Caenorhabditis elegans: one gene and its partner. The protein of the gene in region 2 interacts with the protein of the main gene of each other region in a pairwise test. Each region holds a gene or a part of one and is shown on either strand. Other genes may lie near its edges.

Region 1 (9,448 bases), 2.0 Mb from region 2:
ATGAGTCGATCATCATCAAATATCTTTGCCATTGTATTATTTTATGTTATACTTATTGTTTGGAAAGTTAACGGATTTAATTATGTTTCAGCAATGATTTTTATTATTATCGGAGGTAGCACGTTTATGTCAATTACTGGTTCGTTTAATCGCTAATTTAGAAATCTTAAAACTTTCATTTAAGCATTCCAGGTATCTATATAGTTCTGACAGTAATTTTATATATGGCCGTAGCCCATCACATTTCCTATATGACTACGATAACTCTTACACATTGCTGGCTAATTATTGGATTAATTTGGATAATATCAACTGTTACATCTGTTTGTTTTCTTGTCCATCAATTGTGATTAGTAAAAAAAAATAGTATTCTAGGTTTTTGTTGGAATGTGGGGAGCAACACTTTTCTATCCAGACTCTGCTCCTTTTACCTGCTCATTTGAATCTTGTCAGCAGCCGCTTGCAATTGTGATAGTGATTATGTTATCGATATGTTATGGTACAGTAATCGGTTTATATATTGCAATGATGGCAAGAATTCATCAATTAGTTCGAAAGTCTTCTATGGTTCAAGCTAGATGCAATTCAAATAGTAAGTTTTGGATTGAAATTTAATGATTTTGGGGTTCTTTTTCTGCTTTTTCGATTTACGAGAGTTTTTGACAATTTCTACTTTTCTTTGCCGGAGATAACTCAAAAGATCATTTTTTAAATGTATTTGAAAAAAAAAATTCAAAGCTCGTGTGCTGTGGATATTTAATTCCTGGTATTGTTAACATTTCCTCAAGAAAATAAGAAATTAATATCTTTCATTAATCTATACTTCACATCTTTTTAGAACTTTCTAGATGCCTCTATCCCACAACAATTCTATTTAAATAAAGAAGAACTTTCTGATTTTAAGGTATGATTGCGATGCGTCGATTGAGTATGAATATGATAACTTTTGCCATTGGAACTATTCCTATTCTTATTGTTTGTATAGTTGCACTTGTAAATCTGAAAGAGCTTTCATCATTAGGAGAAGGATGTAAAAGTCCCTGTAAAACATTTCGTCTAAGTTATCTCCTTATTGACGTTGAAATGATGGCAAGTATATCAGCGATTGTTTGGTAAGTTGAGAAAATCTATATGATATTGTTACACGAGATATTTTTCAGGCTTATCGCTATGATTGCTGATCCTGTCATTAATATATTATCGGACAAAAAGCTGCGAGGCGTTTTCATCAAACAATTTTCAAAATTTCCATCGATTTTTAGGAAATCTAAAGAAAGAACCACATCAATCACAGAAGTTTCAGAGGACCACTCTGAAGTCGAAAAGTTGTGAATATTTAATCAGTTTTACACAATAAAAAATCTACCTCCTGTAATAACAAAAGTTCAAAATATCAACCAAAAAAAAACATTTCATTTGTAAATCTAGTAACACACAATTTAACTAAATTATTCAAAACGTGTTCACTTTTAATTCGTTTCATTTTTCGAAACCGTGCGAAAAAAAGTTATCTTGATTCAATTTCAATTTATTCAACCAATTTCAACACGCATTCCTCAAATTGGCGTTATTCATAACTTGGTAACAATAGGACAAATGCAGCAAGCCTCAGAAAAGAAGAAAAAACGAGAGGCCGCCAAGAATCCGCAGGTGGGGGAAAGATCGGCTTTTGTCACATGGCCGTGAGAAGGGAACACTCGGCCATCAGTTTTTTTTCTCGCGGCCACGGGACATCACAATTACATCGCGATGTGCGTATAATTCATAACGAAATCGGTCAATCGCAATACGAAGATTTCTAATTTCGTGTGTCCGCAATGTTAAACTTTGGAACGAACACCAAAAGGTGTTTTATTGTCTGGCCCGCAGACATATGTGAATAGTAAAACCTCATTCACAGTACTCTTAATTTCCAGGTCAGCGTCCGCCTGAACGTCCGTCCACTTCGTGCAAACTGGAAGCCGGTGAAAATTTACGACGAAGAGCCGGCCCCGCCGAAACAAAACCACGTGGCAAGTCCAGCCGAAGATCAGCTTGACACAAGTGTCTGGAAATCGAAGCACATTCGTACGGATGTCATAAAAGCGGTGGAGCTTGGGAAGAGCCCGAAACGAGTTCCTGGTTTGGTTGGAAAATGTGATTGTGCGTGTTGTGGAAGAGCTGACGATACACAGACGGTTTGTGAGCAAGGTGGAGCTGCTAAAGATGAGTATTTGGAGGAGAAGAAGCGTAGATTGCAAGAGGCTAAGAAGAAGAGAAGACATCACAAGAGGTAGGTCTTGCCACGATCTTCGTGGATTTTCCTGAACCCGCAGATCGGTTTTTTTCTACGTGACCATAAAAAAGAAATCACGGCCATCGTATTTTTTCGTGGCCACATGTGTAGCAAAATGATTGGTAAACGTTCCACTGACAATGGTCTTAGAAGGGGGAACGAGCTGATTTCCGAGGGTACGCTTCTAATTTTTTTTATGAGGGTGACCGAGTTTTCGTATTCCGCGGCCACGTAGTAGAAAAAGTATACGTAAAACAACAAGGTGTATAAACTTACGAAATCAATATACAGTACCTTCACTCTGCTCTTTTATGGAGACATAGATCGAAAAAGTTCTGAGAAATTGAAATATATTTCTAGTCAATCAAACAAAAAACGTCGTCATCGTGGTGCAACGCGAACCCGTTCAATCTCGTCACCTCCACTTCCACCACCAGCTCCACCAAACTCCTTTATGTCTCCGGATAATCAGACGTTGTGGTGTAAGCTCTATGAGCAAACATGCCCACCGCCGGCAAAGGCAATCGATTTGAAGATGGTTAGCATTATTACGATTTGTAATGCCTCGGGTCCTGGCACGAACAAATTTTTTCAGCTATCGTACCCGCATATACGGTGGATTTCCGTTTTTATTGATATTTCTAGTGTAATAATTTAATAGAAAACTAATTAAAAACACAAAAAAGTACGAAGACTAGCGGGTACTCGAGATGAAAAGTATGCGGACGTGTCAAGACTTCGCTCCCAATTTAGCTTTAAAAATATTTAAGTTCGCAAAAAAATAATTCGATGAAATCGAATGTAATTTCTATTAAAATTATTTTCAAATTATGAATTACAGCTCCGAAACCTGCCTGGCCAAATCGGAATGTCTGAGCTGGAGCCGGAGGACCTTGAAGTTACACCGGACCCACCCGAATTCATTCCACCCCGGTCCCCAGGTCTCCAAATCATGAAGCCACCGCCCGTATCGCCTCCGTCTAACATTCCCGAGCTCATCCATCATCAACCGGCACTTGTCACACAACCCGAATCAAGACCAGATCCAAATTTGATCATTTTGCCGGCTCCAACTGATGTTCATCCGCCAAAGTCCCCGGTGCACCATGTTATCAAGCAAGAATCCATGAAGGACATCCCACCGGGATCACCTGCATCTCCAGGAGCATGGTCTGGCTCCAATAGCTCGTTGATCTTTATGCCATCTTCTACTCAAGCACCGGAACATTATGCTATTCCATCCGTTTCCAATGTTTTGATGTTTCGTAAAATGGAACACATTTTCTACAGCTCGGAATCCAACTGGTGGTTGCTCGTGGCACTGGTGATGCTCACAATTTTTGCGTACCGCTCTTCTATGGAACAACACACTTGCTATTACGATTGATGATTATGATTATAAAGATCTTTTTATTTGTAAATTATTTGTTTTAATACGAATTCGAAAAGTCTGCCATATGATAGAAAGTCCTATTCAAACTTCGCGCGTAAATGGTTCTCAATAAAGCGCGGTTGCACTACTCTTTTTTTGTCGCTCTTCGTCAACTTCTGGTAGCGTGAGCCCTTCAAATATCATCATTCAAATGCCCATTTTATCGATTTTATTGAATTTTAGTTATTTTAAATCCAATGATTATTCTCAAAATGAATTTCATAATCATCGGCTGGTGTTTTTGAAGGTTTCTAGTGTGTCCAAACGAAATTTATAGTCCTAAAATATTAACATTCAGTAATTCATAATTGCTTAAGAATTAAAAATTACCTTCTTTGTTCCTTGATATCAAGTATATAGTTTTAATATTAATTCAATATCTTTCAGGTAAGCTAAATCTACAAAATGTCATTTTTCCATTTCATCAATTGCTTCGCGTTGGCATTTGCACCATATTTTATTGTCTACAAATACTCAGGTAATATTTTTTATGGGAAGTCAATGAAACACCACTATTTTTATAGGAATTAACGAATACAGTTCCATCTGGAAATGTGCAACTGCTAGTGGTGGATATTTGCTGACACAACTCGCCAAACTGCTTATCATTGCCACATTTTTCCCAGCCCTCGACAGTGAAGGATTCAGTATTGTGCCGGTATGTAATTAATTTTTCTATTCAAAATTGGAGCTATAAATAACGTTTCAATGAAAATCATTTTAATTCAAGTTTTAAGTGAAATTTACCATAAACCCATCCTCGCCGGACATAATCCTTCGGACACTTCAAACTTATTGATTTTGGTTTTCATTGCCAATCTCAGAATCATTGCAGGAATTCCTAAAAAGCAGTGCTGACATCATCGATGTCATTGGGCTTCACCTTCTGATGACCAACTTCTTAGCCGGAAAAGGAGAAGTTCGATTCGTTGTCGGTGGTCTTGGCTGGGGATTCGCTCATTCTGTTGCTCATCGTCTTGTTCTTTTATGGGTTGGAGCTCGTGGAACCGCTTTCACATGGCGTTGGGTTCAGGTGATCAAATCTTCCTTTTTTCTGAAAAAAAGATAATATTATATTTTCAGACATCTCTTGATTCCTCAGCTGATCTATTGGTTATTGTGTCTCTCGCCTGCCTTACATGGATGATCACCCGCACTCCAAACAAGTTCTTGGTGTCACCGATCCTTGCGATGTGTGTCTTCTCAACATTCGTTTATCAGTAAGTATTGGTTTTACTAGTCAAAAAATGTAAATTTTTTTTTATTTCAGAACCGTTCAACACACATTCTCTCTCTACGGATGGTCTCTCTTGGCATTCCGCTTTGCCTACTCCATCGCAACAGCAATTCTCACCGTCGTTGTCTATTCGGCAAACCGGACAGCGTCCACAAGAAAGAACGAGTAGCAACACATATTCTGCTATAATTCACTTTTTGTCAGTTTCAATACTATCTTAGATTCTTTCAGAATTTATATATTTATTCGAAATTTTCTTCTCTCCTTGTTCATGTTTATACAAGTACCCAAAAATATTTATTGTTTAATTTAATAACTGCTTCAAAAATTGTCGTCCTTATATTTACTCTACAATTTTTATCTCTTTTTATTAAAGGTTAAATACCTTTATTACTTTGGCAAGTATTCGCTGTTCACTGTCCAAATAATGTATTCCTCTCCAATTCTAGATGTCAGAAATAGATCCACTTGCCGAGTTCTTGCTTCCAGAAGACGGAGATCGAAATGCTCGTCAAAATGATCCATTGATAAGCGGAGGTCCACTTCCATTGGAATCGCCAAGCAGAAAACTCACGTAATACTTTCTAAACTTGAAACAATTGTGCTACTCAAGATGCTTCCAGATCCCTGTTATCCTATGATCCGACAGTTCCGGAGTCACCGGATATGAAATTCGCCAGAAAACGTCTGGGAAATCTGCTGACAACCATAAAACATCACCCATCGGAAATAATTGGAGTACTCCCAGAAGATTATACGTAAGTGATAAAATGGAAAATTTCAATTCTTGTTTAATTTTCGGCAGAGTATACCATGCCTGGGGCGAAAAATCATTTTTTTTTTGGTTTTGATTTTGTATCAAAAAGCAAAAATATGTAAAAAAGCCAAAAAAAAATTGGAGATTGAATTTTAAACCTTAATATTTGAGAAAAAGAATTAAAAACTATGCAGAGCCACATTTAGTTTGAAAGAAAAGTAAAATAAATTTTGTACACAGAAAACGTTTACAGTAAATACAGCATTTTTTTTCAGTTTTTTGGTTCCAGATAAATAGTTAATTTTTGTCAAATGTCGCGTCCTGGAATATACATAACAGAAAAAAATTTAGACAATGTGGACCTTTTTGTTTTTCGTAATATAAATTTTAGACATAATTGAAAAATTAGAGTTTCCATTGCATTTTTTATAATTTCAGTCGTGCTGATGAAGAGCCCGGGCGCCAAGGACGTCCACCAGGTCGCCCTCGTAAGATGCCGCGTCACGAATCTTCAACTTCACTTATGGAATCACCACGCAAGACTATGACTCGTGATTCTAAAATTATGTTTGAATTGCGTGGAAAACCATTCGAAATGATAGCTGGACGTTTTGAAGAAGAATATTCACTTGGTAGAGCATGGGTTAAAGGACACATGAATAATGAATATGAACCAATAAAAGCTCAAAGGACAGACTATGCACCGAATCTGGCTGTTGTGAGTGGGAAAGATTAAATGAAAAATGTTATAATTATTTCCTTCAGGATTATCTTGCATGTCGCGAGATTCATCGAATGCCACGTCCAGATAAATCAATTCCTGAGCTGCCAATTGTTCCATCTAGAATCGATGAATTCGACGCTACAGTCGATCCAAGATATGAAACAGATTTGAAAAATGAATACATTCGTCATTGGAAACAAGTCAAAAAAGGGTAACACTTCTTCTGCCATTGAAAATTTCCGTAAAAATTTATTTCTTAAAGTATTACGGTAACTGTGCTCTATGTTAGAATTTCATTTGTCGAATTTTGTATCAAACTATAAAATAAAAAATATTGTACTAGCAATCTGTGATCACTACTATTTCTTCAAAGTCAGAGAATCCAAAAAAAAAAATTTCAGTTGGTGTGCTCATCAACGTCGTCGGACTGCTCCCCATGCAAGAAGCATAGCATTAATCAACAAAATCTACCAGCCTGGAGAGTCGAAAACTGTCGAGCAAGCACTTGGTCTTATTTAAATATTCTAACATGTAATTTCAATTTATCTCTTACTTTCTGATCTTGCTATCACATGTCTCTTATTTCAAAAATCTCACTTTAAAATTCATATAAATAATGGGTTTATTCAAATACATCATCTTGACAATTGTTTTTTCAACGTTTTTCTTCCACTTTTTGGAGATTTTCCTGAAGTTTTCTCGAGCTCGTCAGCTACTTTTTCTTGTTGAATCTTGTTAATATATTTTGCAACTTCTCGTTCGGCAGTTTTCATCAAAGCTTCTATAGCGAATACAGTCTGAAATAGAAATATTTTGAGAATATTCAGATTTTTGAATTTTCACTTGAAATCCACTAAAAATCACAATCATTGTGTAGAAAACGTATTCAAGTGGGAGATTCAGAAAAGAGCCATTCACTGCCAAGAATACTGTAAGAGGAATTTGAATAATAATTGTAGTTATTAAGAATCCAAAAAGAGCTGACATCTGTAAACACTAGTGTCGATTTTCTGACTTGACTCATTCAAAACTTACATTTTCTGCCAAATTTCCATAAAATCCAAGTCCTAGCCGTACTCCTTCACTTCCCAAATGAACTAAACACGCAGAAAATGCAATTACTTGATACGTTAATGACAGCAGACTATGCTGAAATTCAAATAATGCTCTAAGTATGTTCCACTGTAATTTTTTTTTTTACCTTGAAGTATAATGATAAGCATAGATTAATCAAATGCATAGGATAGATGCATAAGTTGAAATATATTGCAATTTGAAGTGGAAAACTTGAGATTATTTCTGTAATAATTTTTTAAAAAAGTTGTGAAAAGTGGTTTTTAGAGATTCTCACCCAACTTAAATGGTTCTTGTGATAGATTTTCCATTTTTAATAGCACTAGGACCCCAAAGAGGTTACGAGGCGGTGGGCGGTTACTATGGAAACCAACCACAGAAAGGGAAATGGTGCTCCAATGTGGAGATGGAGATGGAAATGTGTAAAACGAATTGAGAAAATGTTAAGCTACAATTTCAGCTATTTCTTTATGAGCAAAATATAATTCGTCAAAACATGAACCTAAACTTTTAAAACAATGTTTCGCGAAAATTTTAACCATTGATTGTTCATAGTTTTTTTTTAAAATGATTTTATCCCTTCATTTAGCTCTGCAATCAGGCTCGTCTTAAATGTGGCATTACGTTCTCGGGTCTTGCCACGAGCTAAAATTTTCAGCTACCGGACTTGCTAATATTTTGCAACTTCACATTGAGGGTTTATTAACTTTATGATTTTAATTGTACATCTGTATATTTATTAGCAGATTATCGAAAAGAGTATATAATAATATTAGAAAATTCAGCGAAAATTGCAATCTACCGTACTGGCGGTTACTGTAGCGGAATGGTTAAAATCTTTGTAGTTTTCGTTAATACATAATGTTATTCATTCTATTTACAACAATTAAACAACACAGCAAACAAGATTTAATTTTTCGGGTCCCGGTCGGTCACAGCACGTTGTTATGAAGTTGAATCGTTGTTTTAAATGCTGAAAGTTTTGATTTTTCGTAGATCTTTCTACTGTAGACTCACTAATCTAGGACAACATCCATTAAGTAACTGACGTAAAGAGCATGAATTACATGGAATACACACGTTTATACATGAAAAGTCTGCCATTTTTGGAACGGGGTCTTGATAAATATTTAGGCGGAACCATTGAGGCTGAAATAAATCTTTTAGATTATTTGAGAAAAATCAAACCTTTAGACATCCTATCAAAATTGCTCCAATGACTGCTAACGCGAAAATTGTAAAAATTACAATCAAAAATATTAGAGTTACCAAGTTTTCTGCTTCCTTATCTAAATTAGTTTTTCCTAAATCAGTCAGAAAATCGTTCTGTAGTGTTGAACTCATTGGGAATCGAAAATCATTTTATTTGTGGACTCGTCACTTTTAAGCGTGTTGCCTAGGCAACGATTCGAGGTACATTGCTGAATAACAACTCGACACACTCGTAGCGCCTGATATTCGAGTTTATACATTAACTCGATGTACCCTGAATTTATATTCTCATTGTCTTTTAATCAATGCAGTGATTTAGTTTTATTTTTAGACATGTTTTTTGACAAAGATATTATCGTTTGAATCTGGCGCCAATTGTCTGTGCATTTCTGCGTTGCGGTGTTCTTGCGTACAAAGCATTAGATTTGCCGACAGTCAAATTTCATGCTGACAACCTGTTTTGGTCAATGATTTCATTATTTGTCACCATTTACCACTTTCAAAAACTTGTAAATTTTATTTTAAATCTACTAACTTCAAGAATCATGATGATCCTCTTGGAAGTCATACCAGTTCCAGCCGAAATCAATATATCCTTTGTTTGAACTCGTTTTGGCTTGTTTTTTAAATTTGTTAGGAAACTTCATAACATTTTATATTTCAGTGTTAACCCAACTAGAGCGTTTATATCAACATGTCAGCGACACGGCGTCTTCAGAAGGTGAGAAAATCATGTT
Region 2 (8,645 bases):
TCTCATTGTCACAGAAGTGCTCTCCAGGGTATTTGCCAAAACCAATCTTCAAAATCAATGAAAATCTACTTCTTAATTTCAGAACAAACACGAACATTATTGACCATAGCCAACCTGTTGAATCACCAGACAATCTAATTGAAGCAGTTCTCCGATACCGAAATGTGGTTGATGCAGAAGTAGGAAAGAGCTACACTAAACGATTGCGACACAAATTCTCGCGTGGTTCGCTTGCGAAACGGTCCTTCAGATATCTTGTCAAGCCGAAGCCTTACACGGTTGCTTAATTATTATTATCTAGAGAGAAGCCTTTAAACCTTCAGATTTCAATCGTATTATCTCATTTTTCCTCTTTTTTTGTTTTGTTCCAAATAGTTTTCCTTTCATTTTTGTTTGTGTTGTTAAATTTTTCAAATCAAGCTAGAATAGTGAAAGTTTCAATTTTACTCTGTTATTTGTTCTACTACATTTCCCCATTTCCACACTTGTACATGAGTGCTCAATGAAGTCGAAATTGGCAACAGCTAATCCATTCAGTTCCCATCTTGTTAAAGGAACATAAATTAGTCACATTTAAAATTCAAATTGAATTCATAATGCATCCCTTTCCTCTCTTCTTGTTGTTCCCTTCTTCCTTCCATCTCCGCTTTGCTCTTTGTCCTCCCATCGGCTCCTTGATAAATGATGGGGTCCCCCTTGGCCAGATGCAACCCCATTTATCTAAGACCCCGCTGCTGGCTCCGTGAGCACATACACAAGAGATGTGACCCTTTGATAAGCCCCAATGGGACGATTCTTCTTGTTTATTAGAAATTTGATATGCAGTTTGTTGATGGAAGATTAAATTTGAACAATATTTTATAAACAGTGGAAGGTGGAAATTGGAGCGTTCTATAGAATTATAGAAAAATTCATTCATTTGTTTATCAGTCAGTTATCAACCGATTATAGATCACACCAATGTAATGGACATTACAGAAAAAAATACGTAAGAAACCACAGGTTTACAGATCCGGAAAAAGAAAATTCAGACGTCATTCTCTATGATTACGGTAGTTGGTGAGCTCTGTTGAGTGCACTCTTGCATTTTATTTTACGTGCAAACACATCGTACTGCTTCTTTAAACTAAGTACTTGTTTTTGCCAATAATAATAATATAAAATATTTTGTATATTTTTTCGATGAACATATTATATACATATTTTTTATGATAATCATATTTTCGATAAACTTTTAAAAAAACGAAAATCAAACAATATAAAAACATAGATTTCCTGAGAAAAACTATGAAAAATCGATTAAAATTCCACAAAGTTTGAAATCACAGTACTCTTAAAAGGCGCACACCTTTTCACATTTAACAAAACGCATTCGCGTTGAGACCAGGTACCGTATTTTCGACGTAACAATCGAATGATATAACTACGCAAGATTAGTTTTGTTCTGTCAGAGTGAAAGTTTAAAGAATCTGACATAATTCTTCAAGTCAGTTGTTCAATGACCTTTTCAGCCAAACAAATTGAGAAGTACCACATCACACCTGGCTCCATCTTCCATGCATTAATGGGAACAATTTGAGCAATTGGTGGTGATGATAAAAAAGAGATAAAGTTGCACTTTTTCTTTGATTTTTTCATGATTCCTGATTCACCTTTAGTTTTTTTTCTTTTTTACACTGTCTTTGTGCTTTTGAGCTTCTTCTTCTTTCATTTCTCAAAAAGCTGCAAGACATCACGTGACACAATTGAGCCATAGACATACTTTGTGGTTTGTAGTGTGTTATGAAGTGTCTGAAGCGTTCAGAAGATCCCTCTGATGAAACTGAAACAAAACATCTCATTGACTAAGGTTTGCAGGTACATCAAAGTGTAATGGGGTCAATGAAGAGCCTGATGAAATTGATAAAGAGATAAGATGATAGGGATTGGAATGTTCTAGATTCGATTGAAAAAGAGATGGAAAAGTAGAGATCACGGATTGACAAATGCTATGAAGTTCTGCAAATGAGCTTTACAAAAACGCGACCACGATGTCGCACTTTTAACATTTTCTATCAAAAATGTTGAAGAATCGAATTCGAGGAGCATAAAGAATGAAAATCTGTTTTTTTTAATTGAAAATACCATGAAATTCAGTTAATTACAGAAAGCTCCAAAAATGATTGGAAAAAATTAAGCCGCCAGATGTCAAATGCTTTAACTTTTTTCAAAGAAGAGTTGATAACAAATTGTCAATAACAAAAACAAAGAAAACGTTATGACCTATATTTTGTATGTAGAAATTTTTTTTGCAAAACCTATTAGTTTTTGACTTATTCTCTTTTGGAAATTTTGAAAAATTATCAAGTTTTCCTACCTGCGCTTTTCAAACTTCAAAAAACTATGCAACTTGTCCTTCCAGTTTCTGAATTACGTTGTTGGCAAATAAGCTACCGTAACCCTGCACTTTGTACCCAATTCTTTCAACTGCTCAATGGACCTCGGAACCATATTGTTTACAATCACAACAACCACAACAAAACCCATAAACTTTGTGAAGACAACTCGAAAGTTTCGAAAATGTGCTTTACGTGAAGCCGACATGTGGTAGCCATTTGGGATTCATTTCACCGACCAAACTTCAATTCTTTCCATCTTTTCTAGAGAACAATCAATCGTTATTTGAATTAAAATACTTTATTTTGGGGGAAAATAATTGGAAAACCATATCATAATTATTACTTCTTAGTTGACGTATTGTCCGACGATGGCTTGAATCTTTTCGTCTGAAAATAATAAAATTATTGTTTGAATTAAACAATTTGAATGCTCAAAAATCTCAGAATTTTAAAACTCACTTTGGAAGAATCCAGTGAGGATTGGGAACTCAGCGGTGATGGTAGCCTTGGCGTCATCAGAAAGAGCCTTGTATTCAGCGATGTATCCCTTGGCGAGTTCCTTAAGAGAATCAAGAGTTGGCTTATCTCCGGCGAGGTATTGTTGGTGGAGTTCACGTCCCTTGGCGATGATCTTCTTGACAAGAGCCTGAGCGGTGGCATCGAGTTTCTCGAATTTAGCGGTGAGGAGAGCCTCGAGCTTTCCAGCCTTCTCGTAAAGGGATGGAGACTTTTCCTTGAGAGCAGCCTTGAATTCTTCCTCGGTCTTGTATTCCTTGTGGTTTTGGGCGAGTTCCTTAAGAGCAGCCTTCTCCTCAGCGGTGATGGCCTTGAGGTGCTCGGCAACTTCAGCTGGGATGAGTCCCTTGTACTCGGCTGGGATGTCGTCGAAGTTCTGTGGAACCTCTGGGATTGGGGCAGAGAAGACAGCCACGGAGGCAAGGGCTACGACGAGGAAGGCGCGGATCATTACTGCAATATTTTAAATTAGGGGTGGGAAATTTTAAGGTGAAATAGAAATAGAAGGTGATATCAAAGTTAAAGAACCAGTAAACTAGAAAAAAGAAACCATTTAGCAAAGTTTCGAAGTAGAAGATGAAGCTTTGAGCTGCTTCTGCTGTGCCGATTCTGCTCCGCCAGCCGATCTTTTATACGACCTTGGATGATGTATGTTTGAACCTCGTTTCATCAACGAAATAGTGCGTTGAACCATGAGAGTTCCGATGAAATATCACGTTCCCTTCGAGACGCAGACCTCATTTTTCCCTTATTTCTATTATAAAAAACCACTTTTAGTGTAATGAAGTTTAGGAAAAAATGTTTCTTTTTTCTATTTCTATTTCGATTCCCTTTGCTGCTGCTGATTCTTCGCAACTGCTCTATCTCACTGACTCCGCCCATTTGAATTGCTCATTTTCTGAGTCTCTCAAAGGACTACACTCTCGCTAGTTGATTGTAATTCTTCTGGGGTCACCATGTGGTCCGCCTCTTTTTGTTCGACTTTAAAAGATGCTCAGAACAATGGAAATCAACACTTCAGTCTCATTTCGCTTTCTTCTTCTTCTTATTCTTCTTCTTCTTCGTCACATCCCCGATTCTCATAATCTTTCAAATTTTCAGTAATGATCCGTGCCACTATCATCCTCGCCGCTGTCGCTGCCCTCGCCTTCTCTGCTCCAGTCCCGGAGGTCCCAGAGAACTATGACGATATCCCAGCTGAATACAAGTCCCTTATCCCAGCCGAGGTCTCCGAGCATCTTAAGTCCATCACCCCAGAAGAGAAGGCTATTCTTAAGGAGGTCGCCAAGGGATACAAGGACTTCAAGAGCGAGGATGATGTGAGTCTGAAAATTGAAAACTCTAGACCAATAATCAAAATATTAAATTGCAGTTCTTGAACGCCCTCAAGGAAAAGTCTCCAACTCTCCACGAGAAGGCCTCCAAGCTCCACCAAATCGTCAAGGACAAGGTCAACGCTCTCAATGATGAGGCTAAGGCTTTCGTCAAGAAGGCTATCGCTGAAGGACGTAAGATCCACGCTCAATACTTGGCCGGAGAGAAGCCATCCCTCGACACCCTCAAGACCACCGCCAAGACGTAAGTTTCGAGAAAATTACAAATTTCTCTGTCAGGATAACATTTCAGCCACATCGAAGCCTACAAGGGACTTTCCCAAGATGCCAAGGACTCCATCGCCAAGGAATTCCCAATCCTCACCGGATTCTTCAAGAGTGAGTTTAATAAACTTCTAATAATTTTCAATTTAATAATTATATTAATTTTCAGACGAGAAGGTTCAAGCCATGGTCGGACAATACCTCAACTAAATTTCCATTTCGCATTTTCTTTTTGTTTTTAATGTAATAAGCTTAATGGTTGGTTATTGGTTTTCTATAAACTTTGAATCGCAATAAAAACTTGATGCTTTCTGTAATGACTCATTAAATCAGTAGCAGTTGGTATCTCAAACAAATGATGCCCTCACAACAGTAGCATTCGGGCCTCTAAGATAAATTACTTTTAGTGAAAGAACTGATCGGAGACAATTGGAAAGATTTAACGGAGAAAAAAGTCTGCAAAGTCGATGCTTGAGACTTGTCAATTGGCCATTTAAAAAACTTGCACAGAAGTTGCTAGAGATTGGAATTTAAAAAAAACCTAAAAATCAAAGTCCCATCTTATTGCAAGCCTGTCAAAACTTATATTGTTTCAAGTACTCAAAATCAAATAGCATCCTTTCAATTAAGAAACATAACCATATTGATTTTAGGTACTTGGGATCAAATAGCGTTATTTCAGGTTCTAAACAGAGGAATTCACTGTGCTTTAAGGCAGTTGAAGCACTATCCATAATATCTGACATCCACCATCCAACGCTGAACGAGAATAAACGTTGATGCATCTTTGTTGTAGGACCCGAACGTTGACAATCCAGCAAAGAAGAGAATTCCGCCATCCATTCGATGAAGTGTCCAGCTTGTCCAAATGTTTTAAAATGACATAATGATGAAGTTGTTGAATTTATAAAATTATTGTTATCAAGATGTACTTGATTAAAATTTATTTTTAAAAATCATTTGTTATTTTCGACGTTACTGATTTTTATCTATTTTTATACTTTTCACTCATTTCTCAATTCTTAATCAAACCAATGGGCAACTCATCCGCAATTTTCAGAGCGTGTTCAAGATTCTAAAACCACCTCTATACATCAATAATACTATAATGCACAACTAACAACAAACATTAAATCTTTCCAATCATATAATCCCTAATCTTTTCAATCTGCTTCTACCATCTCCAATCATACTCCCTTCTTTTGACAGAAAAATTACGATTATTTTACAATAAGCGGCTCAGATAATCTGAAAAGTATTCCACCCACAACGTCTTAAATTTTCTACACATAGAATAGAAATGCACAAAAACAATCTCGACTTCATTTTTCTTTCACTTTTTCTCTTTTCTCTCTCCGTGTATGTATTTATTTTTTATTTTTCCTTGTGACTTCCATAATCCGCGCACGGCCTCTATTTCCGTACACAATCTCATCTCTTTTTACTTTCAGCATTTTTTTGCGTTTATCTCAGAGCACACATTCATAATTTACATTTTCTCTGAACCTTAGTTTTTCTCTGAAGTTTTTTTCAAAAATTCCGACGGAATATCGGAGGCAATTGGCAACTTTCGTGCAAATTTCGAAAACCTATTTCAAACTTTCAACAAAAAAGTACTTTTGGTTCCAGATTGAGCAAACAGTTTTGTATATTACAACACTAAAATTGAATAAAAATAATAAATAAAATAGCTTATTATGAAGAAGTGTCCCAGCTCTTCTGTGTCCATTAATCGACTGCGGTTTTCTCCTCGAATGAGTTTCTCTTGGTTCTAGAACTTTGCTAAAATTTATAGGTGTAAAGCCTGCATTTTGCCGTTGTAAAAGTTATAAATTTTCCCAAAAGTACGTCGAACAATTTTTCCACTTTTCTCTCTCTCGGAAAACAATTTCCAAAAAGAAGGAGTTCCAGTATTTCTTTGTTAGTCAGTCTCTCCATTTTCTCTTTCATCCACTCTCGTTTTTTTCGAGAAGCTGTGAACTCCGTCTTTCTCTAGTTTTCGCCGTTTTTTTGGTGCAATAAGCAGCAGAAAACACGAGCAGAAGGGGGCTGTATCAGACGACGTGGGTCCCTTCAATTGCCTCCTCTCCTGCTGAATACTTTTCAGGCGCCACTTCATAGATTTCACACAGCTGATTTTATTTAGTTTCAGAAGATTTGTTCGTGTGAAAATTATATATTCAAGACTAGAAAAATTCTTTTTTTTTTCTTAACTGGAATTTTTCATCTAGTGTGTTTTTGTGAAAACAGAAAACACTTCACAATTATATCAAATTTTCAAACCACTTGAATTCCATGCGTGGTTTTTAGTGGCGGTCTATAATCCTGAGGGATACATGTATAGCTCACTTTTTCAAAAAATAAAACCTTCTCAATGTATAGTTTTCTTTTTCCAGTTTATTTTCCAAACAAAGGCCCAATTGCAAATTTTATAGAAAAATTGTATATACGTGATAAACTTAGCATTCAAATTTTGTAATAACTGCTAGATCGAATAATCTATTCAAACATCACTAAATTTAAAATCATATGATTTTAATATTTTGTTCCGAAGATTACCGGACACCGATCTTGAACTACATAAGCCAAAAATCTGTGAGGCAACGGCTTAAGTTGTCTAACGGTGTTTCTTTTCACTGACAAAGCCATCAATAGGCTCTTTTCTTGAGATGTGAAAGTATTTTGAACACTTGCCCAGCAAGGCCGTAAGTATGAGAAACATAACCAAAAAGCACCTACAGTAGTTTTAAGATACTTCTTTTCAGAAATTTGAATGAATATGGGTTCTAAACATTGCTTACATTTGAAACTGTTGTATTTATTGATCATTTGGTCTCTTCCTCGTTTTATGCATTAAAACAAAACAAACAAATTTTTCAGATCATGAATGCTATGTTTCACTCATTATTTGCTCTAAGTTTTGTTAGTTTGGTAGCATCAATAAATAATCAAAACTCGAGATATGATAAAATGTTTTTGGCAATGGTTTGTCAAGATCAAAACGGTTGCGAAGTAAATATACGTTTTCTGGTAAGAGATAGTTTTGAGACTTCAACCAAGAAATTTTAAACATTTAAACTTAACTCAAAAGTAGGAAACTTGAACGCAGTAAATTTAGAATTTAAAATATGCCTGCCTATCGGATTTTTTTCTGTTTGTTTGCTGAAACTACTCGAATTTTATGGGATTTTGAATATATAAAAATTAGAATTGTTTGAGAATTATTTTCAAAACAGAAAAAAACAAGTTCAGCTGTACTTTGGCAATCGCCCAGTGGAGGCATTGTAGGCATGTAGGCATTTTGTGCCTATAATCTTCGGAATGGCTCGAGCTTGATTTTGTAGCAACACTACTACTAGGAAATAGAATGGTAACAAATAGAAAAATAAGAAGTGATTGCAGGATTAAGTAACCAAAAATCTACAGAAAACTCCATTACATAAGAAAATAATTCTAAGAAAATAATTCTAGAAAATAATTCTAAATAATTCTAAAGATTCCGTGATTATTTTCACTCGGGAATCGCTCGCCCACTATGGGGGAGTCTACGCAAGGACAAGGACAACATTCTAATGGAATGGAAACGATTGGCCGACTGCACCAATTCTAGTTCAAGCGAACAATGATAACTTTTGTATTCTGTATTCCTTCACGTCTCCCAGCGAGCGTAATAAATTATTATTATTATTAATCATTCATTTTTCAGAAACAGTCATTTCCTGATTCAAACTCTACGGAACCATTATATGAACATACAATGATATACAATAATGGAAGTCTTGATGAAATAACAATTGATGTTACGGAAGATGTGAATATCATCGAATTCACATTTACAGCGCCCGATGAAAATGGAACAACTATTGTAGAAACCGATTCGTGGGAATTGAACTTTTCCGAGACCTATTTCCACACTATCGGATCCCTTCAACTTGTCGGAAATTTGCCATGTGGCCGGTGAGACTTTTTTTTGGTTGAAGATTCATCGTTCACACATGTCACTTTTTCAATGAGGGAATTGTGGGTTTTTGATAGTTGACACATATTGTTAATGGAACATGTGGTAAACCTTACTCAATTGTAAGATGCTTTATGGGAATTTTAAGCAGGGAAAACTTGGGAAATGAGAAAAATATAGGGACATTGAGTAAAA

What was found.
Region 1: the proteins of far-2 (region 2) and lin-37 interact in a two-hybrid assay, tested with the Caenorhabditis elegans proteins (3 studies listed by BioGRID).

What each region holds. Positions count from the first base shown.
Region 1 is NC_003281.10:7,068,498-7,077,945, reverse strand, and holds lin-37 (uncharacterized protein), read left to right. Parts: upstream 1-5,393; coding exon 5,394-5,518; intron 5,519-5,567; coding exon 5,568-5,702; intron 5,703-6,139; coding exon 6,140-6,419; intron 6,420-6,466; coding exon 6,467-6,636; intron 6,637-6,826; coding exon 6,827-6,944; 3' UTR 6,945-7,056; downstream 7,057-9,448. Other genes in the region: ZK418.6 (G-protein coupled receptors family 1 profile domain-containing protein), read left to right, coding at 1-139, 193-323, 376-592, 905-1,112, 1,161-1,332; ZK418.13 (Pollen-specific leucine-rich repeat extensin-like protein 1), read left to right, coding at 1,597-1,650, 1,917-2,272, 2,636-2,813, 3,117-3,662; ZK418.5 (BOS complex subunit TMEM147), read left to right, coding at 4,113-4,185, 4,232-4,365, 4,543-4,740, 4,791-4,927, 4,978-5,113; tmem-17 (transmembrane 17 domain-containing protein), read right to left, coding at 7,061-7,222, 7,290-7,412, 7,461-7,574, 7,627-7,665; R01H2.8 (uncharacterized protein), read right to left, coding at 8,386-8,472, 8,517-8,648, 8,688-8,843; Ubiquitin-conjugating enzyme E2 ubc-18, read left to right, coding at 9,406-9,432.
Region 2 is NC_003281.10:9,076,530-9,085,174, reverse strand, and holds far-2 (Fatty-acid and retinol-binding protein 2), read right to left. Parts: upstream 3,348-8,645; 5' UTR 3,346-3,347; coding exon 2,838-3,345; intron 2,766-2,837; coding exon 2,725-2,765; 3' UTR 2,664-2,724; downstream 1-2,663. Other genes in the region: mrpl-44 (Large ribosomal subunit protein mL44), read left to right, coding at 1-28, 83-287; far-1 (Fatty-acid and retinol-binding protein 1), read left to right, coding at 3,998-4,213, 4,267-4,472, 4,521-4,606, 4,662-4,702; F02A9.1 (uncharacterized protein), read left to right, coding at 7,376-7,522, 8,199-8,449. UniProt on the Caenorhabditis elegans protein: Probably binds lipids.